Linked DNA regions of Rattus norvegicus. The protein of the gene in region 5 interacts with the protein of the main gene of each other region in a pairwise test. Links are inferred from orthologs where the notes say so. Each region holds a gene or a part of one and is shown on either strand. Other genes may lie near its edges.

Region 1 (6,358 bases), on a different chromosome or scaffold from region 5:
GGTCTACAGAGCAAGTTCCAGAACAGCCAAGACTACATAAAGAAACCCCATCTCGGGACTGGGGATTTAGCTCAGTGGTAGAGCGCTTACCTAGGAAGCACAAGGCCCTGGGTTCGGTCCCCAGCTCCGAAAAAAAAGAACCAAAAAAAAAAAAAAAAAAGAAACCCCATCTCTGTCTGTCTGTCTTTCACACACATTACCACCCCCCACCCCCCGCACCCCAAAGAAAAGCCTTTGGGCTCTTCTGGCTTTTTTAAAGCTGACTAGAGACTGAGAATCTCAAGAATCTGTGGACTACCCACATCAAACCTTTGTGCAGTATCCTGGGCAGGCGAGCCAGTGGTCATCCTGAGAGGACACAGCCAACGAAACAGAAAACTACCAGTACTCTCTCCTAAAGCACCCCAAAGCCATGCCATCTCGTACATGAACTGCTGGCTCAATTGGTTCTCCCAAGAGTCTTACTAGAGCTGAAGGAACAGAAAGGGAAGGAGTTGGTGCTGTGGTTTCCGTTGCACATGCAACAACCTGTTCAGCCTCCCCAGGATAAGCAGTCGGAGGAATCCTAAAGGAACCCAGTCATTGGAGCCGCTGTGCTTGAGGATATAGTACAACTACTTTCCTTGGAACCTCAACTCTAAACCAATTGTTTGTGGTTGCAGAAGTAGTGTTTAGAATGGATTCCAAATCCCAGCAGTCCCACTCCTTCCCATGCTCACTCAGCAGGTGCAACTACCTGCTTTGGTCTTCTCCAACCTCACTGTGTTCTGAGGGGTTAATGGTCCCTGGGGAATATGATTACAGCCTCAGCACTCTGACCTTGCAAGATCTTTACCTCACAACACCCAGTGTTGCTTTCTGATTTAAAAATGAAATGTTCCTTTTTTATTTTTAATTACATGTACATGAGTGCGTCTGTGTTTGTGCACATCTGAGTATACACATCTGAGGAGGCCAGGAGATTACTTGGAGACAAAGTTAAAGGTGGTTGTGATCCATTGAATAGATCGCTGGAAATTAAACTGGGGTCCTCTGAACTATCAGTTAGATGCCCTTACCTGCTGAGCCATTTCTGCAGCCACTTACAGCCTCATCATCCTCGTTATTACTGTGTAGAGGTCAGAGGGAGACTCTGTGGGTCTGTTTTCTCCTTCCACCTTTATATGGGTTCCAGGGGTTGAACTCAGGTCACCACACTTGGACAGCAAGTACCTTTACTCCCTGGGCCATCTTGCTGTCCCCCTAAATCATAGCATTTAATAGTGTCACAAGACCCACAACTAGTAGCGAGGAGCTGGTGAGCAAGCTGACACCTCCAGCACAGGCTATGTTGCAAAGTAGACTCAGGGTCTGGCCTTTACTCATACAGAATCCTCGCAAAGATGCCTGGAAAGCCAGGCATGCTGGTGCACACCTTTAGTCCCGGCACTCTGGAGGCAGAGGCAGGTGGGTCTCTACGGACAAGGCCACCCTGGTACATATAGTGAGTTCCAGACTGTCCAGGGCTATAGCGTGAGACCCAGTCTTAAAGCAAACAAACAGCACTGCAGAGGGGCTGTGCTAAGAAGGCATGATACCACCTGATGAACGGCTTCTGTTGGTCCACCGCAAAGGGGGAAAATACACATCAGCTGCCTGTAGAACTGAAGGCCTGAACACACCAGCCCAGAGATGCTGCAGAGAAGACCAAAGAACAGCTGGTTGCTGGACGCCATGCCCTGCAGCCCTCAGCTTCTCAGGAGACACTAAGGTGCTGGGAATGTGGCTCTGGCAGAATGCTTATGAGGTACACACAATCTCAAAAACAGTGGAGAAGGGAGGTCGTAGGGAGAATTTTGATGGGGCTGTAGAGCTGGCTCAGTGGTTAAGAGCACCTGCTACTCTTCCAGAGGACACAAGTTTGGTCTCTAACACTCACATAGTAGTTCATGACCGTCCCTAAGTCTAGTTCCAGGGTATATGACACCTCTATTGACCTCCACCACGTACCAGGCACCCTTGTGGTGTAGCGTACATACAGCAGTCAAACACTCATATAAGTAAAACAAAAAAGAATCTTCACCTTTGTTGTTTAATAAGGAACAACAGAAACTCCTCTATTTTTCACAGCATCACAAAATGATGGCAATGCCTACCTCCTGGCTCCTGAGTTGTCACCTTGGCCAGCCTCCTAGCAGCAGTCCAGTAGAGCAGGGGTTGGAGGCACCCTTGCCCTCCCACTGAGGATTCCTGCAGCAATCCTTCAATGGCAACAACTGTCCCTGCTCAAGTCTCCCATCTTTATCCTCAGCTGCCTTTTCCCTTCAAAGAGCAGGATGCTCGCAGCCATGGCTGAATTCAGACTGTCCACACCAGGTACAACAGGGATCAGCAGTCTCTTGCCACCAGTACTCTCGGCCAATTGCAGGGACTCCAGGCTTACCCCATGCGTCTCTCCGCCTATCACCAGAGCTGCTGGTGCTTCAGTCCAGTCCAGATCATAACTCTGGACCTCAAGTTTGGGAAGCCAGTCTTTTCTGGCTTTAGTGTCTAGGTCCACTTCATTCTTATGGAACTTTAAGAATCGGCGATCACATGCCCAGTCACGGTCACCGGTTTTATTAGACATCTGAACCTGGGCATAGAGGCCACAGTTGTCTGCCACATAGACTCGGGTGTCAGGGGGCAAGTGATTGGGCACTGTCTCCCATTCCACATTGTTCACAATGGGCACCTGGAAATGTGCCCCCATGCCTGCCCGGAGCACTTTAGGTTCCCAGGCATCCACACAGCCTAAAAGACAAAGGATACAATTGAGACTTTACAAACCTTCCTAGACCACAAAAGGAATGATGAAGTAAATCCCTTGAATTCTAACCAAGACATAACCCAGCAGTTTTTCCATTACAGTCTTCTCCGCTGCTGGGACCAAGAACCTCCCATCTGATGACACTGACCAGCAAAGGGTCTGGAAGACTGATTGCTGCTAGTGCTAAGATAGATTTTGTTAATTGCATCTGTACACAGGGGCCAGGCATTGCAGAGGATGTAACAGAGATTAAAATGCCACCATGGATCTGCAGGAATGCAGGTTATCAACTGTGGTACTGGAAGAACATTGAATCAGATGACCGCAGTATCAACAGTAACTGATGTAAAGGAAGCACGAGCAGGAAAACACTAAACATCTAAGAGACTGTGACACTGAGCTGGCTCCTAAGGGACGAGAGGATCTTGCTGGAGAGAGGCCCAGGTAGAGGACAAAGGAGAGTGAGCAAGCATTGCCTGCTGTGCGACAGGTGGGATGACTCAGGAGGCCAAAGCAGGCAACGGCCAACATAACAGAGTGAGTACTAAGCTGAGGTGCATAGATTTATCAAGAATATTCACTGGAGGACTTAAGCAAACCAATGACCAAATCTGACTTTTTTAGAAAGACCAATTTGATTTGAGTGTCCATCTGGACTAGAACAGTCTCCCTACACTAACGAAGGGCAAACCAAGCAAGAAGTTCATGCAGCAATCTGGGAGGAAGCAGGAGCCCAACTAGTTAGTCCTCTGTCCCTGCCAAGGCCTTCCTTCATGCTGTAGTGAGAAGGCTAGAGGTACCCACTCTGACATAGTCACATCTAGACCTTAGGGCCCCTGTGCATTGGCTGCCCAGCAGATACTGACTTGTCCATATGCCTACTCTCACCACAGGCAAGTAGGAGGAAGGCATTTCACCACGAGTATCACAGGGCTACCTTATGACAAGTCATTTTAAAGCTTAGGGTGGTATCTGTCAGACCGACAGAGATTGTACTAATGCCCAGACACCCCACCTATAGGCTTTCCTAAGCACTGCAGGGAACCAGAGATGGGAGCGGGCTTTGGCCGAGATGAAGGAAAGGAATAGATGGGTCTAGATCTGTGTCAGCAGATGTCTAGTCTCACTCCTTCAGCTAGAGAGGAGTAAGGAGATGAGAGCTCCTTCTGCCACATGCATACCAACTGTCCTACTCTTTCCTGACCTCTTTCACACCAGCCAGTGGGAACAAGTGAAAACTACACGTCCTCGGTGATGTGAACACATTTCCAAAACTACACTGCCATCAAAGCACTCAACAATGGAAGGGTGGGGTACTGAAAATGGAGCCCCAGAAACTAGGTCTCACACTGTCATTCCAGTACTTGGACAGAGTGTATCAGGAAAGAGTTGAATGGAGCAATTTAGGCAAGTCTCAGCAATTGTTCCACTATGAGTTTTTATTTAATAGTAGCTTACGTGTCTCTGATGAGTGACATGCTCCCTCCCCTCCGCTCCCAGGGTGTAAAAGGCATTCTAGACATGTCTCAACTGCTTGCCAGGTACGTTTAGAACCAAGCCTATTAATCCCCTTCTGTGCGAAAAAGCTCAAATATAATAAGGCTAATTTGTGTATCGCTGTGTAACTACATTTCCCTGAGGCTAAGAAAAATGTACCAGAACACATAATCACTCTGGTGACAGCTTTCCTTCCATGGGATTCAGAACTCAGGGGTTTAGGAAGGACTCATATACTCAACACTTTGAGAACTCAAGATAAACAAGGATCTTAAACCAAGTCTTAACTTTGGCATGTAAATAATTAGTGTATATCCATAAAATCTCATAAAATGGGAACCTATTTCTTCCCTTTATTGACCTGAAATTCCAAAACAGCTTTTAAATAATTTTAAAACACAAGCAATAGTTACTGAACGCTTCTTTGCGACATTTCAAGTAATCTTGAAAAAAAAACAAAGACCAACCATGAGGAAGATTCTTCTTATTCCCACTTTAAAGACGAGATATTTGACATTTAACATGTTGTTTATGGATATGCAGTTACCCAACCCGGGGCAGATCAGAGAGTCAGACCCTGCATATCTGTCTAGAACCCTAACTCATTTGAAAACAGCCAATGAAGCCACTGGGGAGGAAGTGCTTTTCCAAGGCTAGAGAAGAGTGTACACTGCTCTTATAGAGGCCTTACAAACTGGGGGGGCTGACTCCCAGAACCCACAGTGGGCAGCTCACAACTGCCTGGAACTACAGTTCTGGGGCATCCTGAATCTGACCTCTGTAGACACCTGCACTTGTGTGTGCACACATAGACATACACATGTACACATAATTAAAAATGAAATTAACCTTATTTCATTTAAAAAGAGGTATTCTTACCTTTGGTGAGTAAGACTTTACTGCAGCCTGCTCCAGCTGCAGATCTCAGGATTGTCCCCAGGTTCCCAGGGTCACGGAGATTGTCACAAATCAACAGTAAGGGCAGTGAATGGTGAAGCTGAGTCTCTGGATACGTCATCTTAACAGGGTCAGGTTTGGCAAAAATCCCTAGGGAAACAACACAGAAGATTCACTAGTCTGGACTGTGCATGGGAATGGCTTGACTTTTTTGTTTATTTATCATTCTTTATGTATTCACAAGTACCTAATGAAAACAGGAGTATATTATGGCTACAAAACTTCAAACAACAAAAATTCTACCACTACTAACCCCATCTGCTTCCAACCCTTCTCTCTGAACTCTGTTCACCCAACTATATCTGCATACTTATCAGTGCTTGTCAACACTGACAAAGCCATTGTGGGTGTGGTGGCAAGTGGCTGGAAGCAGGAGAACTGAGAGTTTAAGGTCATCCTGATCTACATAACATGGTCACACACAAATCCACCAGGGTTTGGGGTATTCTCAGTGGTACAGCACTTGCCTAGCATACAGACAGCTTTGGGTTTTAACACTTCTGAAAGCAATAAAGACAGGACCTGAAAGCAAATGAAAGACATATAGGAGCTAGAGAGCTGCCTCAGCAGTTTAGTTGACTGCAGCTCTTGAGGACCTCAGTTCAATTCCCAGCACCCACACTGTGGCTCTCAAGTCCAGCCTCAGGAGATCTGAGTCCACCCTCTTAGGCATCAGCCACACACATGGTGCACGTATATGCAGGCAAAGCACTCACATGCAACATTTTAGATTGTAAATCTAGCATCTATATAACCTATATCTATAAGCGAATTTTTAAAAAGCTCATTTTGTGACCTGCTTATCTCACTCAACATGTCTTTACAAGTTTGATGTCAGTATATTTGCAGCTACTATATATTTCTAAGCGTTGTAATATAATGTGCCAGAGTTTAGCTCTTTCCAGTCTTTTGTTTGTTTGTTTGGTTGGTTGGTTGGTTTGGCTTTTTCGAGACAGTTTCACTGTATGTAGCCTTGGCTATTCTGTAACTTTTTCTATAAACCAGGCTGACCTCAAACCCACAGAGATACGCTTGCCTCTGCCTTCTAAGTGCTAGGATTAAAGGCGTGCACCACCACTGCCCAGTCCTTTCCAGTTTTGTAATTGACAGTTAAAG
Region 2 (5,679 bases), on a different chromosome or scaffold from region 5:
ACATAAACGTGGGTTGCAGCAATCCCTCGGTACAGGATAGGAGACTGAACTGGCAGCAGTTGAGAGTCTGGAGGTCCCCAGCAAACAGCCAGGTCCCCAGCATCCCATCCCCACAGATCCCTGGTAGAATTTGGGAATGTAGCTCACTTGGCGTTTGCCTAGCATGCAGGAAGTCCTGGATCCGATCCCTCAGACCATATAAACTAAGTGTGATGATTCATGTTCACAATCCCAGCACTCAGGAAGCAAAGGCAGGAATCAGACGTTCAAAGACCCGCTCAGGAGACCCTATCTAATTAGTTCTTGGTGGGGATGAGGCTGGTTTCAGCTGAGCTTTGTGAAGCTCAGGCCCCTCACGAAGCCCTTAGGTAGTGTTTTCCGAGGCTCCACAGGACTGGTTCAGGGCTGCTGCAGACTGGACTGGAGCCAAGGTGTTGGCGTCCTTGGTTCATCTCCCAAAGTGCCTACTCAGACCTGGGTGTCCTGAGCCTCCTGCAGGGTAGACCTTACTGGAGGTGCTCGGGACACATGCAGTCAAGGACAGAAGGGGACGACAGTAGTGACAGGGTTTTCATTTTAGGGTATTTCACAAATACCCAACACAACCTTAGAGGCCATCTCTGTTGGTCCCATGGAAGGAGTGGGATCCTTCACAGCCCCACTTCCTCCTTTGACACTCAGTCCTTCCGCTGAATGGGAGGGAGAGCTGCCAGAGGGCACGAAAGACAAGCTTCCCTCCGTGTCGGGCTGGCGAATGTTTGGGCCCACAGAGTGGCTGCTGGTGCTACCAAGGGCTGCTGCTGGGTAGAGATAACAACATAGGAAGGGCGGGGTGGCAGACCTTCCCCAGAGCAGCGCCTTCACACAAACAATGAGCGGCAGCCCTGGCCAGAGCAGGAGGTGATTCATCTCCCCCACTGCGTGGATCCTGCTGGCCACACTCACTGGGCACTGAGGGGCTGGGGCGGCCTTGGCCAGGTGCCCACACTTTGCTCCTGCCCTGGGCAGGTTGGGAATCACCCAGCCCTCTGTTATCTGGCCTGATTTCAAAAGCCTGGGTGTGTATCATAAGCAGTGTGGGGAGTGTTTAACTGCACCCAAGAGAGCAGCGGCCTCTGTTATTGCCGGAGAATTGTTCAGAACTGGTTTCTGGATCAGGAGAATAGGAAAATAGACAACAGGAAAGGTTATGTGTGTGGCCCCTCCTTGAGCTCCCACCTGCCCACGCCCTGGGCATACACTGGGAATGACCATGGCAGCTCCCTGGGCTACCCCTCTGAGTACTCCCGTGGCTTGTCGGCCATTGTTCATCCTGAGCCACAATCCTGACTGTTACGAAGGGCACTAGAGCTTCAGGTTTGCAGCGTGGGAGAGGCCAGTGCACCTGACATGCCAGGACCCAAGAAGCAGTACTTTTAATTGGGTGAGACCCAAGAGGTGTGCGCACAGACCCTGTCCAATGCACACACTGCCTCTGCTGTGACGTCCTTCCGGCTGGAATGCCGAGGCTCCTCTTGGAAGGCATGTGGGGAGTGCGTATCAGTCCCAAACAAAGGCACCTCCCAGTGGGTGGAAGTTACTGGGTTGCACAGTCCTGCCAAGTCCTGGGGTGTCCTCTGGTCACTGCTTGGCCTTCTTCACGATGGTACCCACGGCAGAAATGACAGTGGTCTTGGAGCCGCTGGCACTGGTGGTGACAGTGACCACTGCTGGCAGGGTGGCTGTGGTGGTGAGGATGGTGGGCTGCGCTATTGTCGTCACGGGGATGGCCGAGTCCCATTTGCTCTTCCTCTTCTGGGCATCTAGAGGTGATACAAGAGAGGGGTCAAGATCAGCACCAACCAATAGGACCCCAAGGGCAGGGCCCCTTTCCCGGCAGGCCAGAGGCAGGTTGGGTCCAGGAACCCAGAGGGAAGTCAATAATCTGGGAGCCTTGCTATGCTCATACTTGGCAGAGCACACAAGGCCAAGCCTGGCACAGTCCCTCTCTAACAAACCCATGAACCTCCCGCTCTATCTGGAGGCCCTGAGGTGGTGCAGGGACGGGATGAGCAGCCTGTACCTGCGACAGCTGTGCTGGCAGTGCTGGTGGTGGTGGCCGTGGCATTGGTTGTGGTGCCTTTCTTGGTGCCTGTTACAAACTCAATCTGGAGAGGAGAGAGGACAATAAGACCATTGCAGAGACATGTGTCCATTTCCTGTGCTGTCCGTCCATCTGTCTGCTCCCAGGGCACAAGAGTTCGGCATTAAACAAAAGAGGCCCTGAAAACCATCTTGGCTGGGAGCACTTGGGAGAGTGGGAGGTGCCTGAGGGGCTTTTGTCACTCTTCCAAACACTTTCCCAGCAGATGTGGGGTCCCTCCCAGCATCACAAGTTACCACACATGACCGACCGGCACCCAACCCACTGTCCCCTTAAACCAGCTGCCAGGCCTCTCCTCCTCACATCCAGGAGGAAGTGCTATCTTCTGCACAGAAGGACAGCTGTGGTCCCCAGACCTGTGTTAAGCCTAGGGTTTAGGGGGAGAGGAAGAGAAAGAAGGGGGAGATTCATTCAATGGTTAAGAACAAGAAACTTGGGGCTGGAGAGATGGCTCAGTGGTTCCATCCAGAGAACCCGAGTTTGGTTCCCAGCACCCACATGGTGGCTCACAACCATCCATGCCCTCTTCTGTCACACAGGCATACACACATATACATAAAATACATATGCACATTTTAAAAAAGGACAAGAAACCTAGTTCCTCCCCCTCACACCACTCCCACATTCTTGGCCACAAAGCCTCAGAAAGGGCCAGTTACACCCCCAGGCCTTGCAGCCCTCAGCCTGGAGGTAAGGGAGGCTCTTGTGGGTCACAGCTGCTGTGAGGAATTCAGCCCTAACCAGAGTAGGAGAAGGTGTATTCTCATGTCCAGCTGACAATCTGGGGATCGTGAAGCTCCTGGCAGACCCTCTCTGATGACACTGCTACAGAAGTGGTGCGTGGTGTCCAAATTGATGGCTTATGTGGCTCTCAGACATGAGATCCATAGGAACCCACACAAGCTGGCTGTGGAGGTCAGCTCTGCAGGCCAAGAAATGCACAACGCAGAGTAGGCCTTAGCCTCACTCTCATGAAGGAACAGCTACTTCACATCAGGCTGGAGCACCATTGAGCCATAAGAGGCAAAGCCCCCAGGGCTCTGCAGTGGGCTAAGGAAGGGCACAATGCCGGGGACGCCGAGCCTGCCACAGCTGAGCAGTGGTTTCCATAGACAGCCGTCTGCTCATCACAGAGGCCAAGGCCAAGGATGCTCAAGGCCTCACTAGACATGAAGGGTAGGGGTGGCAGGGAGCCTGGGAAGCCGGACTCTTCCACTCAGCAGCAGGACCTGCACACCTCACAGCACCTCCGCCCCAGGGTCAGTCATTACTTACTTTCGTTCTCTCCTTTTTGGCCTTTTCCAATTTGTCCATTTCAATCTTCTGGGCCTTGGCTGTGGAGACATGAGCAGTGTGTGACCGAGGAGGTCACTGCCTTGACCTTGCATTCCTCATACTGGCCTAAAGGGCTGCATGGGCTCAGCACTGGAGCAGGTGAAGTGTTAGGCCCTGGTCAGCGTGGACCATGGGCCTGGTCCAAGGGTCTGGGGGCTGCTCCTGAGCTTCATTCACAGTGAACGACCACCCTACTGACTAAGGAACGCTAGATACAGAATTATATTGTAAATAAAAATATTGGGAACTAACTTAAAATAAGGCAAAACTTGTAAGGGCCACATATACACACACTAATGAGCCAGGACCTGGTTTACAAGCTCTGGGCTTGTGACGGGGACTCACAGGTTCAAGGCTCAGGCTGTGAAATTACTCCCAGCTCTGTGCTGTGTTCCCTGGCCTTAGAACACACACCTCCTCTGCCCCGGGCATTCTGGCCCCTGCACCTCTCCAAACCTTGCTCTAACGGTCTCCTCAACAGGGCCTTCCCAATCTTTTGGCCAGGTCAGGCGCTCTGCTTGCCAAAGGTTTCTGGCTCTGCTCACATTAATTCAGTGCCATCAGTGTGGGAATTACTATCCCATCTGCCTGTACTGTGTCCAAGTCTTGCCAGCAAGGGACACCGTCAGTCTTGTCCACAGAAGCCCTGTAGACATGGCCCGGCACAGAGACCCTGCCTGAGATATGGGTCACCTAAGTCACTGACTGGATGGACAGACCGATGGGTGTGTGGATGAGTAGATAAACAGAAAGCTACAGAGGTTACCCAATGCCTCATAGTAGGAGTCTTCAGACCAGCCGTGGGGATCAAACATATCCTGCAAAGAGGAGGTTAAACTGTAGTCAGAGCGACACCACAGTGCACAGGAGCTGCCTAGGCTAGGGCCCCAGCCCTCATGAAGGCACAGGGCTTCAGCCGGCTCCCTGATCACCAGCCACAAAGCCAGGAAGCTCCTAAGAGCAGAGTAGGAGCGTCCGCTCAGCTGGTAGCAGTGGCACAGGCCCGGTCCTGGCTTCTAACTGGTTGGGACCCAGAGACCAAGCCTGTCACTGGCATCTGCCAGACTACCAGCCAAGCCACTCCACAGACGTTCCATGGCATGAAGCCACACCCACTACAGCAAGCTCCACCCCCTGTGCACACCTTTGGGTAGTTGGTGCCCAGCTCATCAATGGCACAGAACTGGATCAGTTTCTCGTAGATGCTGAAAAGGGAACAGAAGAACCCATGAGCAGGCTCTGTACTGGTCCCATATCCTGTATGGAATCAGAACCACTGGCTCCTGGACCGATGACAAAGGGATGAAGCCTTTTCACCCATCACTTCCACCAATGCAGCCTCCTGATGGGATGCCTGCCTCCTCCCCAGACAGGCTGCGGCTGGGGCCAGAAGAAGGCGGTTGAGACAGCATCTGAATGCTATGTCTACTGTAGATGCTTCTGGTCTTCAGTTGGCCTTGGCATGGGCCTCCACACTCAGACCACACAACTGGCTGGGCTCAGTCCCTGCTGACACAGGGCGCATCCTGCCCTGGGTGTTTTACTAGTTTGAGCATTTGAAAGAATAAGCCTGGGACACAGCCAGGCAGCGTGATGCACACCTTTAACTCTAGCACTTGCGGGGGCAGAGGCAGGTGGATTCTGTGAGTTCAAGGCCAGACAGGACTACATAGTGGGATCCTATCTCAAATACCTCGACATAACAATAGACCCAGCCAGACACACCTTGTCCCTAAACCCTTCATGAGCCAAAGCCAAGCTTTCTGAGTTGGAAGAACCTCTCTGGTGATTACCTTGTTGAATGTCCTCCTTTAGGACCAGGGTGGGGAGCAGAACCCAGCCAGGTCTCTTAGCCATCATGGTGGACTGGTGCACACCTTGAACCTGTATTTTATGAGTAAATCTCTGGTGTGTCTACCAGGCACCTAGTATCAGTGGAAGTCTGGGTGAAGTCGCTTTGGGCTCTCCTCCCCTGCCTCCCTTCACAGGTTTTCCTGGTCCCCGTCTACCGTTTGTCTTGCCTCACCTGGGGTTCCGGAACTCCTTCTTCCTTTGGATGATGTAGTTCATATCCATCCCCTCCTTTATCTTCCGCTCATAGAGCTTCTGGATCTTATCCTTTGGAGGGGACAGAGGGTAAGCTTCACAGAGCCTATCCCCCATGATCCTGTTGCACCCCAGCCATCTAATGCCTGACTCCA
Region 3 (6,455 bases), on a different chromosome or scaffold from region 5:
TGTGTAGTCCTGGCTGTCCTGAAACTTGCTCTGTAGACCAGGTTGTCCAGAGATCTGCCTGCCTCTGCCTCCCCAAGTGCTGGGAGTAAAGGTGTGCCCCACCAGGCCCTTTTGATGTTGTTTTTAAGGAAGGAAAAGTATTCACTGAATCTGATTCTGGTTGAATAGAAATATTTCTTCCTTTAGAGTCATAAAGGGGGAAATGTCTATAAAAATTATAAATTGATAAAAAAAAACCCTGAAGACACATGTATCTGTAGAAGTACAGCCCTTTCAGAAGATAACCGTATCTAAACCATATTATTTCTAGGTCCTCGGGCAGCTGCAAGTGCTCATATGTCATTTATTTAACTTTCTTTCATTTCCTATGGAAGAGAAAAATGAGACCCAGGGCACGCTATCTGATGGTAGGCAATCGCAGCTTTAACTGGGGTCCACTCCTCTCTGAGCCTCTGGCATTTCAACCATAAAACAGAGATGACATCTGCCTCAAAGGGACAGGCTGAGGACACAAGGCATGCACATGAAAAGGTTGCCTAGGAAAGACAAGAAATGGGGAGAGAGCACAGAGCAACTCACATGGGCGCCTGGGTGCCATCTGAACTGCCGCTGAGTGCCAAGGATGTTGCCGGCATGAACGTAGTGACCTGAAAGAGAAGTCCAGTGAGCCGACTCCGAGACATAATCACAGAAGCCCAGCCAAGTGCTGAGAAGTTACGGCAGCCCACGGGCCCACCAACCCCCAAGCCTGCTCCTGGGTGGACCTCTAAGATGGTCCTACATACAGGGCCCCATCCAGCAGACGCTTTCTCAGTTGCATTGCCTAAGAAACTGCAACTCACTGAGGCCCCTGCTCCTCCCCAGAGCTCACCTACCCTTTAATGTGGGGACAAGTGTTACAGTGAAGGGCAGAGATGCGGGTGAGCGAGGCACCCGAGTAGCATTTTGGCTCTTCTAAGAGCAGAGCAGCACTGTAGGAAAACAGAAACGAAGGCACACCCTCACCTTCCATTTTCTTGATGCCATAGTGTTTGCCTCGTGATTTGCCACCAAGGTTCTTAGAACTGCCACCTGTCTTCTTGGATGCGGATCTGACAGCAAGTGCTGTAGGTGCTGTGGGACTCAGCAGGGCTGTCAACGCAGAGAAGGCAGAGACACTGTTCAGAGAGGCTCCCAATTTGATGCGCGTTCTTTGCCTCTATGGACCATTTGCTAAGCCGAGAAGTAGCAAGGGAGATGAGAAAAATGAAAGATGTGTGAAAGGAACAGAAACGCTAAGAATGTGGTGTTCAGGGAATGCCTGGGCAGGCCGCAATTCCAGGTGGAATTGGTCCAGAGGTAAGCGGGGTACGGGGGTGGGGGGTTGTGACTGGTGGTGATGTGTGTATCAGGGAGAGCAGACAGTGAACATAAATAGGGGGAGAAAACAGCTTGTGCTCTGGCTCCTGACACATTCAGTCCAGCTGAGCAGAAACAGCACAGAAACAGATGAAGTGGACACTAGACAGCTGCCTCCTTCAAAGATTCACTCTCCTGCCCAAGGGAAGGGTCAGACCACGAAACGTGCGGGGCTTCTGCTTCAGTCTCACTCTTAGCTATCCGCTGAACACCAGAAAACTGCACCAGAAGGGCAGCCCGTCAGAGGGTGGCTCCTGCAAGCTACTGGCCATTCCAGAACAGTCTTTTCTTCCCAGAGCCCATAAGCAGAGACGTCTGCCTAAGATCAGCATTAATCTGACCTCGCCACTCATCACCACAAAGGACTCAACATTTACCTTAAAAGGATTAATGATGTGGGAGGCGTTCAAGGGAGTAGAGATGATCAAAATACACTATATACATGAAATCAAATTCTCAAAAATTAAATAAAAATACTTTTGAAAGAACATTATCTTAAACGCATACTAATGGGGCCAGAGAGGTGGCTCAGAGGTTAGCAGCAGTGACTGCTTGCAGAGGACCTCGATTCAGTTTCTAGCACTTCTGTAGTGGTTCGCAGCCATCTCTAAGTTTCAGGGGACCCAAGGCCTTTTCGTACCTCTGCTGGTACCAAGTACACCATGCAGTATGCATATATACACACAGGCAAAACATTCATACACATAAAATAAAATTCAGACTAACATGGGCAGTTGGCTGTCTGTTTTTAGTTTCTGGGTATAGTTATAGGATCTTAGGATCTAGTATCAGCACAGTTAGAGAGGTTTTATGGGTGTTTGGGGCATACATTCACAGTATTGATTACCTTGGTCTCTCAAATTCCCATGAAAACAGAAAGTTTCTAGGATACAAGACTAGAGATAGGAACTCAGAGCAGGCCAGGCTGGGCATAGCAGCACATTCGAGCCTTTGATCCCAGCACTTGGGAGGCAGAGGCAGGCAGATCTCTATGAGATCACAACCAGCCTGGTCTACAGAGTGAGTTCTAGGACAGCCACAGCTACACAGTGAAACAGTGTCTACAAACAAACAAACATCATCAAAAAAGAGCTTACAGAGATATGTTCAATGTCCAGCAATGGAATAGAATTTTCCTAACCTTAATCCCCTCCCCCTCTCCTGTACCCCTCTCCTGTAGGCCTTAAACTTGCAATCCTCTGGCCTCTACCTCACATATAACCTGAGGTTACAGGCATGCACTTCCTGGCTTCATTTACCGACTTACTGGTGACTGATTTTTTGAAATAATGTTTTGTCTACATTATTTCATTCATAAATGCCTGCTTTTGTGAAAAACAAGAATCTACAGATTACTTCTCTCATTTTACAGACCAGTAAGACTTGTGGAATCTATCTTCAGAACAAATGGATGTCATTTTCACCCACTACCCTCCAAGCTCTCTACCATCACCGCTAATATCTTGGCCAAATCGTCCTACAGCAAGTGTTCCAGATGGTTTTCCATGTAGGATATTTTATTTATTTATAGCTTTTGAGACTGTGACCCAGGCTGGCTTTGGACCTGATGCAATCCTCCTGCCTCAGACTCCTAAGTGCAGGGATTGCAGGCACCAGCATTCCCGGTCCCACCAGGTTTCATTCTTATTCTTATTTATTTCTTTGCTCAGCCTGCCTCCTCTGGTTTGCTCCTCAAAGTGTAAAACTGTCTACACGGGGTTGGTTGGGTCTGTCTCTTTTAGGTCTTAATTGTTATCTCTTGAAGAGCCATCCTTGATGCCCTAATCTAAGACTCTTCACAACACTATTTACGATTACAACTAAGTTACTCACGTGTTTACTGGCTGAACTTACAAGGCGTTAGAAATCATGTTTATGCTGATACTCTGAACAGGGTCTCATCAGACCTAAAATACCAGCACGAAGACGGCAAACTTCACAGTGAGGACCTATCTCAAAAGTGAGGATAGGGAAAAAAAAAAAAGCCAAGTCCTGAATATCTGCTGAATGACTCGACTAAATTTTTTGAACTTAGTCTTCTTCATATACGAAGGAATCCACATAAACCCAGGGGCACAAGGTATCTGGAATAACTATCACCAACAGGCATTCATTCTCAACTACCACCCTCTGCACAGCACCGCCCACCACGTGTCACGTGACCGGAGACAGTCCGCCTCCACGAGTCCCGAGTTCCACACTCCTTCCCTGTATGTAGAATTCACACGGGCTCCGGTTTCCATCTCCCGGACTCCCTGGTGTTTCGCCCCGCAACAACCACAGTGCTGAGCTACCTGCTGCCCGCGTCCTCAGCGTAAGGGCCGCCGCCGCCGACGCCATGTTTGCTTCACATTCACTTCCAGGCTGGGAAGTCTGTTTCCGCTACCGGGATAGATCTACTTCCGGGTCTTGCGTACAATTCAAAGAGTGGCGGGAGCAATAACAGGTGAGCGCAGATCTCTCAGGGTTTATGGCTGGGACCTCCAGAGACTTTTGCAATGGATCGTGGGCCTCAGAGTCGAGGCGTGTGGCCGGCACGGACATTTGTACCACTCAGGAACCAAACGAAAGTCCCTAGGGAGGGACCAGGGTGATGCTCAGCCAGATTCCAAGCCAAACTGGTTGTATACGCACAATTTCATTTAATTCATTTAATTACAAACCTAAGTTATTTGTTTTATGCTAAACTGAGATCCAGGAAGGCTGCAAGCATTCACAACCTACAGTCACTAATTATTTGTTGAATGAATGACTCTTGCGTGTAACCCAGTAACTTCAGTGCACACACAAGAGAACTGTGAAAACATAGTTATTCAGAATATTTGTATGTGGATATTTGTAGCAGCATTATTCACAATAGCCAAGAAAAAAAGCACGGTAACTGTCTATCAAGCAATAAATGTGAATATTATTCAGCTATTAAAAACGAGGCAGTACTGGTGCATAGTATGGCCACAGAAGGACCTTGAAAGCATGACGGTGAAAGACACCAGTCACCAAAGGCTCATACTGTGTGCTTTTGTGAAGTAAAGTACGTAAGCCCATAGAGACAATGGATCTTGTTTTGTTTTAGGCACTGGGAGAGGGAAAGAACTTTTTTTAATTTTTAAATTTTCTTAAAAAAAGTTTTAAATGGTTATAGAATTACTTTTGCTTTTGAGAAGTCTCACTGTATCATGTAAGCTGGTCCTGAACTCAAAATACCTCCTCTATCTGCCTCCCAAAAGATGGGATTGCAGTTATGCACCAGCATGCTCAAATCGTATCGGATTTCTTTTTGTGGTGCTGGAGACATTCTGGAATAAGATGATGGTAATGATTACACAACACAAATATGCCTAGCCCCATTAGTCTGAATGAATGATTTATTTATCTGTTATTTGTCATGCTGGGATTAAAACCCACACATGGCTCTACACATGCTAAGCAAGCACTCTGCCATTGCTACTCCCAACTCCTAGAGTACAGTTTTAAGTAGTATACTCTATTTATGTGAGTTGTAAGGGCTTGGGGTTTTTCTGTTTTGCTTTGTTTTTTTGTTTTTTGTTTTGTTTTGTTTTTTGGGTTTTTTGTTTTGTTTTTTTTGTTTTTGGCCTGTGTGAGCACATGTGTGCACATGGGTGTGTGCACAGGCATGCATTCCACAGTGTAGGTTGAATTGAAATCCAGCTAGGTGACATGCATCTTTGCTCACCAGGCCATCTTATTTACCTATGTTTTTATTTAAAATTTCATTTATTTTTATTTTTATATTGATGTGGAGGCCAGAGGAAGGTGTTGGATCTCCTGGAGCAGGGATTACAGGCAGTTGTGAGAAGTATCCAGGGTGGATGCTGGGAACTGCACCCGGACCTCTCTAAGAGCAGTATAAACTCAACTGCTGAGCTGGCTCTCCAGCACCGGCATGGGTTTTGTTTCTTATGTTTGTTTTTGGTTTAGAAAGATCTCCATGTTGGGGTGGGGGGCAGTGAGCTATGACCCAAGTGGTAAAAGTGCTTGCTGCCAAGCCTGATGACCTGGATTCAATCCCCAGGACTCACACCATGGAAGGAAAGGACCGACTCCCTGAAAGTAATCCTCTGATTGCCACATCTAGACTGGGGCATGTATATGCCCACACATACACAAATATTTTAATTTTTTTAAATGATCACCATGTTAAATCAAAAATTATTGTGCACACTTGTGATTCCAGCGCGTGTCAGTGCAAGGCAGAGGGATCTGGAGCTCACACTCATCCTCAGCTGCGTGAGTTCAAAGCCAACCTGAGCTACAAGAAACTCTCAAAAAGACAAAACAGAAAGCTCTGTCAAATGCAGGGGTCAGCAAAGAGAGAGTAATGAGTTTTTGTTAGGATTCCCATTAAAGTTTTCCAACAGTAACCATTTTGATTATAACTCTCCATGACCTGGAAAGGTTTTGAAGGAGAGATCCTATTAGTGTATCGGTGTGGCCATTTTGAGTCCCAGATTGAATGTGTTGGAGCATGTTCTATTTCTCTGATTCTCTGAGCACATTTATCTTCATAAGGCTTGTCTTTGCCAGCATGTCTAGTGGACCAGCGTGAATAGTCTCATGTATGCCTCATCTTTCCTTTAGGCTATTAAGTTGATAGCTCTAATGGGTTGATGGCGCTAAGAAGGTTATCCCTCTCTCTGCTGTCCACGGAGAGTGACTCTGAGGAACTGCCCACATTCGCCTTTCTGAAGAAGGAACCAGCTTCAACGGACAGCAATCCACCTCAGAGAGAGAAGAACATTGTTGTTGTCACCTCAGATATTGAGGCCTCCTGTCCTCCATCACCAGGCTTAAAAGACCCACCATGTGTCCCCAGTGCAGCGGAAGCTCCCACACAAGCAGGGCCAGTCAGAGTGCTGAGCAGTAGCAGTGAGGATGAAGATGGATTGGTCTCTCTGGCTGAAAGGATCACATGGAAGCTTTTGAGGAACAAACAGCTGAGCCCTGAGCGCTCTCGCTCCCCACTTAAAACGGGTTCAGATCACCAAAAAAATGCAAGTACACCATGTGACTGGAAAAGGCAACCGTGTCCAAAGATT
Region 4 (5,679 bases), on a different chromosome or scaffold from region 5:
CCTTTGCAAGAGCAGCGCATGCTCTTGGCTGCTGAGCCAGCTCCCCAGCCCCTGATGTCACTGTCTTGAACACTGAGTTTCCCTTCCTATTTTGAGGTTTCAGATACACCATAACATGTGAAGACACCAGGGGTATTTTGAATTTGTCTGTCCTCTGAAATGGTCTGACCCTTTGGAGAAGGCTGCTGGTCAAACAACCTCGTATTGATGATTGTCCTTTGGTGCAGCTGAGCTCCTTGCCAAGCACAGGGAGTATAGAAATGTAGCAGAGAAACAACCCAGGACTTAAAAAGAAGCACAGACCCATGACCTTCCGTCCCTGGAAAGCGTAGTTCATCTTGGCAAGTCAGGCTTTTGGTCCTCTTAGAGACTGGTTTGAAGAGATTGAGTGTCAAATTTAGGTGGCACGTTTTTAGTGAAGACCTAAACGGTGTTTTTGCTTTGACTTGTTTTACTGAATTTTTGGAAACTTTGAATTGCTTAAAAGTATTTATAGATCATGTGAAGAAGTCTGCATTTTGAGCTTTATTTCCACAATGACCTTTTGCAGAGAATTTTCTTTATCTCTGTGTGAACGCTTTCTACATGGGCAACTTACTTACAAAGTAGCCTGAGTGATCTTAGTGTCTCTTGTAGCATCATGGTGATGTTTCTTTAAAAGCTCACTTGTATTTATATAAGTGTATTCTCATCTATTTTTATAGGATTTAATTTGTCTTTATGGATGATCAGTTGATTGAGATAGGCTTTTGTTGTGTAGCCCAGGCTGGACATGAATTCTTCTGACTCAGTATCCTTGGTACTGGGATTACAGGTATGTTATTATCATGTTGCTGCTTTCTCTCTCCCTTCCCCCTCCTCCTCTTCCCCACCGCCCTCTCCCTCCTCCTCCTTCTCCTCCTCCTTTTCCTTCTTCTCTTCCTCTTCCTCTTCTCTCCCCACCCTTCTCCTTTGCCCCTGGGTCCAATTTTCTCTGTGTAACCCTGGCTGCCCTGGAGCTCACTGTGTAGACTGCCTCAAACTCATGGAGATCTGCCTTCCTCTGCCTCCTGAGTGCTGGGATTACAGGCGAGTGCCACCATGCCCAGCTACATGCTTCTAAAGGCAAAAACCAGTGTCAAGTTTTAAGATGCATGATGTTATTGAAAGTCTCCAGGATGGACATTTTTTTGGTACACATTCTTTTCATTGGCTAGCATTTGGCCTATGACTTGCATTAACTGATAGGAAATGGTAGAAGTGGCTTAGGATGGGTTCAATGACTAGATACTTGTCATGCCTGTGTCCTCTGGCTTCTTCTAGCTGGGATATTTGTTGTAAGACACACTGGACTGGTTTAAAGGAAAAATTTACTACCTTGCTGCACAGACTTTGTGAAGAGATTCCAGTTGTCTTGTGCCCCTGCTCAGATCTATGTGAGTCCAGTCTTAGCAGCCATATGATGTCCAATTACATAAGCTATGTTAGGAGACCAACAGAACAACCTCACTGAGCCCAGCTACCAACAGAAAAGAGAGACAAACAAATGACTTTTGTTTCAACCCCTCAGTTTTAAGGCGTAGAGTATAGCATACATGGCAAGGCTATTAAACCACAAGACTCTGGATGATATCTTCTCTGCATTCCCAAATACCTCACATCCCTCAGAGTAATCCATATGCAAATATGAATGGTTTTATAGAAGAGAACAAGCTGAAGGCATTCCGTGCCCTCACTCCCTGGGGTAGCTTTGTTATGCACTGTCGTAAAAGTCATCATAAAGAGGGATCTTCTCTGTCTTGGTCCTCACCAGTGCTTGTGGTCTCCTCTCCTCTTTCTCGAGCTCACCAGAGTCAGAGCTGGAACTGTTCCAGAAAAACCGCCCCTGGGCTTCTTGTGCTCGGAGCCATGTTTCCACTTTGCCAGTGTTCCGGACAAAATAGTCATCCTCTGTGAGATAGTCCAAGAATTCTTCATCCTGGGCATTTTCTGCAAAAGAGCAAAAGTTTGTATGTTTTTAAAAAATTTCTCCTTAAGAATGATTATTGAAAATGATTTTATTATTATAGAATAACTTACTTGAAGGAATATTAGAAGGAAAATATTAACCTTTCCTGTAATAGCTCGGTTTGTAGAGTGTTTGATTAGAATGCACAACACGGACTGCACATAAAAAAATGGGATGGTGGTAAATGCCCATGTTCCTAAAACTCAGGGGGTGGAGGCAGGAGGTTCAGGAGTTCAGGGTCACCCATTGAAAACACACACTTTCATATTTTTGTCATTAAGAGAACCAAAAAATGAAGGAACCAATGAGTAATCAGAGGAACTTTGGACACAGGAAGTAATGGCAACCCCAACCTGGGAACTACTTCAACCACGAGAGCTTAAGTGTGCTAGTTATCTCTGTCCTCCAAATGAGCTGTGGACTGCAAGCAACATCACTGAGAACAGAGATTTTCTAGAACGTCTGTAACTGGATGTAGAGCTTTGAAGTGGAAAGAAAATAGCTGTTAGCTGTGGGTTCTAATGTACTATCAACGTTAGCTTAAGTCCCATAGCATTCTTGGGGCCAAGATCACTCTAGTCTCAGATTGTCTGTGATACAGACGCACACCTTCAGTCTCATCCTTCTCACTAGTGATGAATTATGGAAACGGTTCCCAAAAGTGTAGTCTTGTCACTAATAAGGTACAATATACACAGTCCTGGGAACAAGCAGTGAAGCTTGAGGACATCTGAGCTAGTTGTCACAACATTCTTCTGTGTGATAGTGTACGGTTTATAGATTTAAAAACAGTAAAAATAAAAACAAAAATCATGACCTTTGGAAACCTAAGTGGATTTTGGCATGCAGAGTGGAAGCCAGTGTATAAAACTCCAGGATTAACCTTCCCCCACCAGCCCCAGGGGAAGGCAATGTATTCTGATGTGTACTAAAGGAATAAGGAGTGATTTGGATGGTATAGGAAACAGAAAGCATGAGAAATGCTTGGCTGTCATGTATTTTATAATAGGTGTTTTAGAAAAATCTATCGTTGCTACACACACACACACACACACACACACACACACATCACAGTAGTTCAAAGACAAAGCTACAAATCTATTTAAAAACTAGAGATTTAGTAGTTAAATAGTATAGGGGGAATGGAGAAGGTTTAGAATTGTGAAGGTGACATTGAAATGATAGGTTCAGGGTGACCTTTCTCTGAAAGATAAGGTGTTTCCGTCTATGACGTTGTGATGGTTAATGTTGGCTGTTATCTTGCCGGGTTCCAATAAGTATTGAAGAGACCAGCCTCACCTCTGAGCATGCCCAGGAGGGTTGTCTGGACTAAGTTAATTGAGGTGGGAAGACCCACACTGAATGTGGTACCATCCCATAAGCTGGGGCCTTGGACCGAATAAAAGAGAGTGAGCTGAGAACATGCATTTATTGTCCTCGATTCCCAACTGTGGATGAAATGTAGGCAGCTGTCTCCTATCCCTGCTGACATACTTCCCCACTGGTCTTCATTAACTGAAACTGGGATCCAGAATATATCCTTCCTTCCTTAAGTTGCTTCAATGAGACAAGTAATTGATGTAGACATCAATTCCGTTTTCTCTTATATTTTATCCAGACTCTTATATGTTTGTCTGAACCTTACAGTTTCTGTGTGTGCACTGGGGGTGGTGAAGAATATGGGTGCATGGGTGCACGCAGAAGCTGGAGGTTCAGGACAAGTGTCACTTCAATGGCTCTCCACCTGAATTGTGGAGACTGGGCCACTCACTGAACCCAGAGCTCACTGACTTGACTAGCTGGGTTGGCCAGCAAGCCTCAAGGGTCCCCCTATCTCTGCGTCTCTAGCCCTGGGATAATAAATGCATATTGCCATGATCTGGCATTTTACATTGGTACTAAAGATCCAAATTCAGGTCCTCAAGCTGGTGGGACAAACACTTTCCCGGTGGAGCCATCTCCCTAGCTCTTACATGTCCTTTTTATACACATGAGATTAACTTTACATGAACCCTACATGACTGATACTATTGATCTCCATTTTACACACATAAAGATAGGGTCACCAAAGCGCAACAATAAGTGTACTTAGATATTCTTTTAAAACTTAGAGCAATGCAGAAAAACCTATGATCGAAAGGCTGCCGTAGGTAAGACTCTGCTCTAGGAAGAGTAAGATGGGCCTACTCCCAGAGAGGGCGCACTGTTGGATCTCAGTCGAAGACTTTGATTCCAGTAGCTGTGCTTTTCCTCCAACTGAATCCATGTCATGCCTCTGGACAGCGCGTGGCCACACGAACAACGTAAAATTCACAGAACCGCACATCAAAAAGAGCGAAGCTCACTTTATGCTGTACATAGCTACCTATTTTATACGAATATGTGTAATTTATCATGCGAATAAATAAAAACAATTTAAAGGTGGTTTTGTTTTAAAGAAGCAGCAGAAAAGAAAGCTCAGCTCGTGTCTCACAAAAGGCTAAAATTCCTGTCTTGCCTTCTGGAGGGAAACAAGAAATGGTAGATAAACCATTAAACCAGTGAGTGCTGGAACAGAGGATCCTCCATTGTCAGACCCCAACTACCAGAATGCTCAGGGCTGTAAGTGAGCTTGGCTGCGTTCTACTCCCAGGAGAAAGCGAAGTCAACCACTTTTAGAAGATAGGGAAACAGTCAGAGAGGTCCCGTGTGATCAGTTGGAGGGGGCCTTTGTTAGAGCCAGAGGCAAGAGTAGTCAAGTGTGTAGCCTCTGGGGTGAAGCATCCTGAGAGGTTTCATCTCTCGCTATCTGGCTGTGACCTTGTCGTGGACCTGTCCTTTCAAGTCGATATTAGCCCAAATGTTCGAATTACCCTAGATCCACAGAACACATGAAACTCAAGAAAGATGACCAAAATGCAAATGCCTCACCCCTTCTTTAAAAGGGGAACAAGAATACCCTTGGGAGGGAATAGGGAGGCAAAGTGTAGAACAGACGCAGAAGGAACACCCATTCAGAGCCTGCCCCACATGTGGCCCATACATATACAGTCACCAAACTAGATAAGATGGATGAAGCAAAGAAGCACAGGCTGACAGGAACCGGATGTAGATCTCTCCTGAGAGACACAGCCAGAATACAGCAAATGCAGAGGCGAATGCCAGCAGCAAACCACTGAACTGAGAATGGGACCCCCGTTGAAGGAATCAGAGAAAGAACTGGAAGAGCTTGAAGGGGCTTGAGACCCCATATGAACAACAATGCCAAGCAACCAGAGCTTCCAGGGACTAAGCCACTAACTAATGACTATACATGGACTGACCCTGGACTCCAACCTCATAGGTAGCAATAAATATCCTAGTAAGAGCACCAGTGGAAGGGGAAGCCCTTGGTCCTGCCAAGACTGAACCCCAGTGAGTGTGATTGTTGTGGGGAGGGCGGTAATGGGGGAAGGATGGGGAGGGGAACACCTATAGGGAAGGGAAGGGGCAGGGATTAGGGGGATGTTGGCCCGGAAACTGGGAAAGGGAATAACAATCGAAATGTAAATAAGAAATACCCAAGTTAATAAAGATGAAAAAAAAAGTTTATACCCTCACTCAAAAAAAAAAAAAAAAAAAGACAATGACAGTGTACAGTGTACTTACATAAGTTAAATAAATAAATCTTAAAAAAAAAAAAAGCAGATGGGAATAATCCTGACCTCTTGTGG
Region 5 (6,435 bases):
TTTCTGTATTTGACTGTGAGAATAGGAAGGGGTCAGGAAAAAAAATCAGGAAGCAGAAGTTTTCTTATCTAGGCCCTGGCTGATCTGGGGGGAGGGGGCTTTTCCTGGGTCAGTGACTCATTTCCTGCCCTAGCCTGAGGTTTGCTTCCACTCTCTGGACTGTCCCTAGGGTGCCAAAGGCCAGGACAGAGGCCGCCAACCCTACTGCATATAGACAACACTCTCACCTCCTGACTCCCAGGATAGGAATCATAGGGGCTAATTATCTAGACTCCCGGTCTGGGGGAGTTTTAGGTGGAATGAGCTGTTTTGTGTGCTCTCCCCCACCCCAACTCCCTACCGATGCAGATGCAGGAAATCGTGGACTGCTAGAGAGATGCTTGTCTGATGAATGGTGCACGTCGGTGTGAGAAGTTGGGCCTCCCCTCCCAGGGGAATCAGCCAAGCAGCAAAAACTTGAGAGGTTCCGCTTAGGTTCAGGCAGGAAGGAAACCCTGCAAGCTGGACAGCCAGACTTCCCCAGCTGGACCTCATCCTCATCCCTACCACCTCTGCTGTGTCTCTGGTCACACCAGCCCGGGCAGTCTTGGCTGTGACATCTGCTGCAGCTGTGGCAGCACGGAGGGCCAGATGTCAGCCTTTTGCCAACCAGAGGGAGAAAAAAGGGAAAAAACGAGATGCCCAGGGAAGCGGAAGGAAATGGAGACACACAGATAGGGCAGTGTCTTGCTTCTCCTGCCAGGTGCCCGTTCTAGCCCTGCAAAGTCCCCTGCATCTGGACAAGCTGCCTCTGCCTACCTTCCCTGGGTTCCCAGGGTTTGAGGCCAGAGTAGTGAAAGCTGAGAAGGTGGGAGCCCCTGGAGCCCCAGTGGGGTCCCTTCTTAACAGGGAGTAAGACAAGGGGAGTCCTAAGTGCTGTTGCTGCAGACACCCAGCCCCCCACCAAACCTCAGACACTTTCCATTTTCTCAGGAACAAAGCATGTTTGTGGGATGAGGTCACCCACACAGCTGCCTCTGGAACAGGAGCATGAAGGATGGGGGGGGGCAGGGAAATGGGGTTCCCGGTCTCTTCTGCTGGCCAATTCCAGTCTCCCTGGCCCCAAAGTCAGAGTTCCCCTGCTCCACCCTGCTCCATTATGAAGCAAGCTTTCAAAGGGCTGGACAGTGAGGAAGATCCCCCAGGACCCACAGGAAGTCGGGATGGTGTCATTGTCGCACAGGAGACTGGAGGAAGTTAAAGGGGGGTGCGCAAAGGATCCTACCAACCCCCTTCTCCATAGCTGCCCTGGCTTAAGATGAAGGAAAGGCATTCCCCGCCCTCCCAAAACACACACACACACACACACACACACACACACACACACACCCCCCTCAGCAAGTACAGTAAATTCTCACCAAACACCTTGGTCTGCCTTGCCTTAGAGTTCAGACTTCAGGCAACAACAGATGTCCCAAGCCTTGAAGGGCCCACCTCTTTGTGGCTTATGAATTTGAACTTTCCCTTCCACAAGGTGGGAGAACACCTGGTTCACAACCAAAGCAGGACACACCAAAGCTTTGGACAGACCAAAGCTGAAGTCTTCAAAGGGGAGAGTCCTCAGGTAGGGGTTATGCTAAAGGATGAAGAGAACCTCCTCTTCCCTCTCCTTCTCTCCCCCCACCGTCATTCAGGTCTTGGTCTCCTCTGGCCCAGCCTCTGAGGATCGCCTGGGCTGTTAGCCACAACAGCAAATACAGGTGGTCTGTGGCCGTGAGTCCACTTGGGAGCCCTTCCTTCCGGGCTTGGCGGCAGCAGCTACCTTCCCAGGTCCAGGCTAGCCCTGGATCCACCCCCTCAGAGCCAGTCACCACAATGAGATGAGGCACCCCAAATAGGGCATGGGTGTGCCTTCTGCTTCCTTCCCAGAATCTCCCAATCCCTTAATCTATGTCTCTAATGAGGACAGAGTGAAGGGCACCACCAAGGCCCACTTGTCTTTTCCCCAGTCCCCCCCACCCCACCCCCATCCCTGGCAAGGCTGGAGGACTAGAAAGGTGAGCTGGGAGATGGTCTGTATTCCTGGTAGCAGGTAGGGGGTGGGAGAGTGAGGGGGGTGAGGAGGTGAAGGGGGTGGAGGAGTAGGGGGTTAGGAGGGGGGTAGATTAGAGGAGACAGTGGGTCTTCCAGATGACCCCAATCTGCTATTTCCACTAACACACATATCTCCATGCCTGACTGAACACACACACACACACACACACACACACACACACACACACACACACACACACACCAGTGAACTTCCGAGAGCAGAGTGGCAGCATATCTTTCTGTACGGTGTCCAGTGTATAACAGCTTGCTTGGGTCACAAAATATAAACCCGACTTGAAATCCTGTGACCTTGGGTACACAGTTTACATGCCCCGAGACTGTCCATCTAGTTAAATGAGATACTATTACCTCCCTCTCCTAAGACAGCTGTTGAGCTTAAATGTGACAATCCCCAGAACAGTGTCTGGCCAGTCATAAGTCTGTAGCCTTATGTAAGTAAACGGTAGTCACTTGTATTTTTACTACAAGCCCCTCAACTCCTACTGGGGTCAGACGGTGGGTCTCAGGCAGGCCTGAAGCGGGAATTGGCCTGGGATGTGACCTCAGGAGTCTCAGGGAACCACTGAGACCAGTCAGCAGGACACAGGAGGAGGGGGAACTTTAAAGACCTTACAGGTGGGTAGTTCCCGGGGGCACACACTTTGCTCGATGTCTTGTTATTTACACAATACATACCCCACGGTCACTACAAGCCGCACACCAAAAGGCAGGACAGAGTGTATAGCTCGTTTAGAGCTCAGCACAAGACACTAGGGGCAGGCTAGGGGCATGACCGAGACTGTTCAGCAATTGGAGCACAAGTGACCTATCCCTTAGTGGAGAGCTCTGCCTGGAAATGCTATGATAGTGGTGGAAGGGGCAGTCATGGGGGGAGGGGAGGACGGGGCTGGCTCTCCTCCCCAGCTGTCAACCTGCCATTGGAAGACACCCAGAAGTCTTTCCAATCACCCATGCCAACTGCTCAACCCTTTGGTATACCCCCCTTCCCCGCCTCCCGCTCCCCCACATATCCCAAGTCCACGAGGACCCTGGCCAGACCCCACAGCTGTGACTCAGACTTAGAGAAGACCCCTCCCCCTTGACAAGAGACTTAGGGGAGAAATTAGAGCCCCCTCTAACCCTCCCTCTCCCTGTCCCCCAACCAGGCACCAATCCCAAACTCTCCACCGCCCCTCTTGCCCACAGGGCCTGGAAGTCAAGCAGTTTAGGGAGAAGGGGATAAGGGAGCGGATCCAGCAGCTGCTCTGAGGACAGGAGAGGAACATTTCATTCACCCCAGAGTCCCCTAGGGCTGAGGCAGAGCGTCCAAGATTTGAGTTTAAAAATAAGTTGGCGCTGTCTTAGAGGCTGTACGGGGCTCTCTTTCTTCAGCTCAGCGTTACAGCCTCAGGTCCTCTGCCTCCTGGGGGATGGGCTGGCTAAGACTCAATTTCCCCCTAGCTTTGCCTCCACCCTTTCAGGCCTGGGGCAGCTGTCAGTGAATACACTAGGTGTCTCTCCTCAGTGAACTCTAGCCTCCACTCCATACCTCTCGGTACCCTTGGGCTGCTGTCTTTGTGTTGGGGTGAAGGTGTTCCTGTATCTCTGAAACTGTGTCCTAGTGGGGCCTCCACTCTGAGGATCTCTGTCCCTGTGCATCCAAGTCTTGGTCTCTCAGCGTCTCAGTGTCTCTCACCTGAGAGTCTCTTTAGGCCTCAGGGAGGCAGATTTAGCCATAGTCTAACAAGCTCCAGCCTCGGGGCCTTCCAAGGCCCTGGGAAGGGCGCTAGCAATGAGTTCCCTGGGGTCATACATTTTGCTTCTTAAATTGCTCCACAGAACCCGGGTCCCCGGCAGCGCCTCGAGAAGTTTATCCGGCCATTCTCAGCCACCATTGGTGTGGTCCGGGTAGCCTCCTGGGGCGCGCGCCCTTCCCTGTTCTACCAGACTCCTTAAAAGCCTCAGTTTCTCCAACCCCGCTACCTCTAAAGCTTTTCTAGTTCAAACTTGGTCCCAATCCCCTGCAACTCGGGCGGTCCCTGCCCGACCGGGAGGCGCGGAGCGGTGGGGTCCGTGCAGGCGCGCGGGATCCCGTGTTCGAGATGCCCCAGCAGAGGACAGGGGTGGGGGCCCGGGCGCCAACCCTGGTCCGAACGCAGCGCGGAAACAGGGGCTGGAAGCTGGGTGGGTGGGGGGACTCTCACCTCGAAGCGGGCGCGGGAGCTTGGGCGCGAGCGGCGTGGGTGGGGCGGGAGCCGATCTCCCGGCGGCTCCTACCTGCGGGCCGGGCCGAGGGGGCCGAGAGAGCCGCGGCGAGGTAGCCTGCTGCGACAGACTGTGTGGGCGAGTGGGCGCGCGGCCCTAAGCCTCCGAGGAAGTGAGCCGGCCCGCCCCGCCCGGACCCCGCCCCCGGGCCCCCAACCCGCCCGCGGGGGCAAGACCCCGCCCCCTCCTGCCTGCCGCGAGCCCAGCCCAGGCGAATCTGGCGCTCTGACCTTCTCGACCACTCCTTGCTCGCCCCCTGCAGCCTGACCCGCCCTCTACGCCCCTTCGACCCCGGGGGATTTCTGGAAGCGATCCCAGGCCAGGGATACGGGGCTTCCAGGACTTAGCTAGAGTCCATCTGGGGACCAGACCCCCTCCTCTTTTCCCTCTAGCTCATCCCCAGATGTTACACTAAACCTTAGCTTGGGAAGAGGCCTTAATCCAGCCTGCTGGAGGCGTGGTTTTGATTCTGACTTACCAGTGGAGATCAAGGGTTTGTGTTTGTTTTTTTTTTTTGTTTTTTTTTGTTTTTTCTAAAAACTTGGGTTAAAGAGAGAGAGCCTCTATCCTCCTCAATTTCAAAGGATTTTTATTCTATAAGCGAGTGGCGAAAGCCCAGGCAACAGCCTCCCCATCTTCAGCTGTGTCCTGGCACTGAGGTTTCAATAGTGCCCAGGAATAATTTTGACCTTTCAGGCTCAGGGAGACCCTAATCCTAGGTCCCATTGGCTTTGGGTTTCTTGAGAGGGTGTGTGAACAATGTGAGGGGTTGGGTTGGTGTAGGCAGGGGTGGTTAAGAAGAGAGGGAACTTGTGTAGTTTCTGACCCTCCAGCTTCTACCCTGGTTCGGGAAGGGAGGACTGGCGCCTGCCAGGGACATGAGGCCCATCCAGGTCCTTGAGGCCAACCCCCCTGGGATCCTCAGGCTTGTCACTAGAAATAAATAGCCTTGATCTGGAGGGCGGGGGTGGGGTGGGGGAAGCTCTGTTGTGCTGTTTGCAAAACAAGAGACAACAAACTAACCCTGGTAATAACCTTTGCATCTCCGTGATGATTCAGATGCCCAGAGAGGCTTCCCTGATCCAAGGCTGCATCCAGCCAAGGTAGTTTGTGGGGATTAAGAGCCTTCAAGGCTGGTGAGGATCGTTCCATAACATGGGTCTGGTTCCTAGGTCCTAAAACAATTACCAGACCAGGTTTCCTTTTAAAGTTAAAGAATTGCTTCAATGTTGTTGATTTTTTTTTTTCCCAGAGCTGGGGACCGAACCCAGGGCCTTGTGCTTGCTAGGCAAACGCTCTACCACTGAGCTAAATCCCCAACCACAATGCTGTTGATTCTTGTTTGTTTTTTGTTTTTGGAGCTGGGGACCGAACCCAGGGCCTTGCGCTTCCTAGGCAAGCGCTCTACCACTGAGCTAAATCCCCAACCCCAATGCTGTTGATTCTTAAATTGCAAATGCCACGAGAGCAGAGGTTGGGTCGGGGTTTTTTTGTTTTGTTTTTGTTTCTGTTGTTGTTCACTACGGCATTCCCAGTATCTACTCCAGTGTTCGACCTGCAGTAAATGAGGAAAGAATGTCACACACTGCTTTCATTTAGACCCCCCTGCTACTCCCTGCCAGGCACCTGCTATCAGGAGTCTAGCCAGTGAATAGAGAGTCTAAGGGTGGGCCCTTCCTCTGGGATTTGTCTCTCAGGTCTAGGGAACTCTAAATGTACAGGAATGCAGGAAACACCATCATTCCTGGTTGGAGCAGACAGCAGGGGTCTGTCTGTCTGTCCTGACATGAAGTGAGGACAATGGTGGGAAAGTGTGCTGGCTAGTTTTATGTCAACTTGACACAAGCTAGAGTCTTCGAGAGGAGGAAACCTCAACTGAGAAAAGGCTTCCATAAGATCAGGCTGTATGAAAGCCTGTAGGGCATTTTTCTTTTTCTTTTTCTTTTTTTTTTTTTCTCTTTCTTTTTTCTTTTTTTTTCGGAGCTGCCCAGGGCCTTGCGCTTGCTAGGCAAGCCCTCTACCACTGAGCTAAATCCCCAACCCCAGGCATTTTTCTAATTAGGGATTGATGGGGGAACACCCAGTCCAGTGCCATTT

What was found.
Region 1: the proteins of Fhl3 (region 5) and Mrm3 interact in binary tests that used the Homo sapiens proteins (3 or more experiments, as listed by UniProt). The two-hybrid records come from large-scale screens. The link is inferred for Rattus norvegicus from reciprocal best matches to the Homo sapiens genes FHL3 and MRM3.
Region 2: the proteins of Fhl3 (region 5) and Sap30bp interact in binary tests that used the Homo sapiens proteins (3 or more experiments, as listed by UniProt). The two-hybrid records come from large-scale screens. The link is inferred for Rattus norvegicus from reciprocal best matches to the Homo sapiens genes FHL3 and SAP30BP.
Region 3: the proteins of Fhl3 (region 5) and Mrpl27 interact in binary tests that used the Homo sapiens proteins (3 or more experiments, as listed by UniProt). The two-hybrid records come from large-scale screens. The link is inferred for Rattus norvegicus from reciprocal best matches to the Homo sapiens genes FHL3 and MRPL27.
Region 4: the proteins of Fhl3 (region 5) and Ccdc198 interact in binary tests that used the Homo sapiens proteins (3 or more experiments, as listed by UniProt). The two-hybrid records come from large-scale screens. The link is inferred for Rattus norvegicus from reciprocal best matches to the Homo sapiens genes FHL3 and CCDC198.

What each region holds. Positions count from the first base shown.
Region 1 is NC_086028.1:61,596,546-61,602,903, reverse strand, and holds the end of Mrm3 (rRNA methyltransferase 3, mitochondrial), read right to left. Parts: intron 5,333-6,358; coding exon 5,165-5,332; intron 2,773-5,164; coding exon 2,243-2,772; 3' UTR 2,039-2,242; downstream 1-2,038. UniProt on the Homo sapiens protein: S-adenosyl-L-methionine-dependent 2'-O-ribose methyltransferase that catalyzes the formation of 2'-O-methylguanosine at position 1370 (Gm1370) in the 16S mitochondrial large subunit ribosomal RNA (mtLSU rRNA), a conserved modification in the peptidyl transferase domain of the mtLSU rRNA.
Region 2 is NC_086028.1:101,691,138-101,696,816, reverse strand, and holds the end of Sap30bp (SAP30-binding protein), read right to left. Parts: intron 5,597-5,679; coding exon 5,505-5,596; intron 4,684-5,504; coding exon 4,623-4,683; intron 4,297-4,622; coding exon 4,245-4,296; intron 3,478-4,244; coding exon 3,419-3,477; intron 2,148-3,418; coding exon 2,063-2,147; intron 1,803-2,062; coding exon 1,621-1,802; 3' UTR 559-1,620; downstream 1-558. UniProt on the Homo sapiens protein: Plays a role in transcriptional repression by promoting histone deacetylase activity, leading to deacetylation of histone H3.
Region 3 is NC_086028.1:80,089,633-80,096,087, reverse strand, and holds the start of Mrpl27 (39S ribosomal protein L27, mitochondrial), read right to left. Parts: upstream 3,744-6,455; 5' UTR 3,739-3,743; coding exon 3,693-3,738; exon of another isoform or gene 3,638-3,692; intron 1,213-3,637; exon of another isoform or gene 1,132-1,212; coding exon 1,006-1,131; intron 648-1,005; coding exon 580-647; intron 1-579. Other genes in the region: crossover junction endonuclease EME1, read left to right, coding at 6,027-6,455.
Region 4 is NC_086033.1:24,981,167-24,986,845, forward strand, and holds the end of Ccdc198 (coiled-coil domain containing 198), read right to left. Parts: intron 1,969-5,679; coding exon 1,733-1,968; 3' UTR 1,531-1,732; downstream 1-1,530. UniProt on the Homo sapiens protein: May be involved in tuning the metabolism, energy expenditure, and excretion processes.
Region 5 is NC_086023.1:142,236,680-142,243,114, reverse strand, and holds the start of Fhl3 (four and a half LIM domains protein 3), read right to left. Parts: upstream 4,326-6,435; 5' UTR 4,278-4,325; intron 1-4,277. UniProt on the Homo sapiens protein: Recruited by SOX15 to FOXK1 promoters where it acts as a transcriptional coactivator of FOXK1.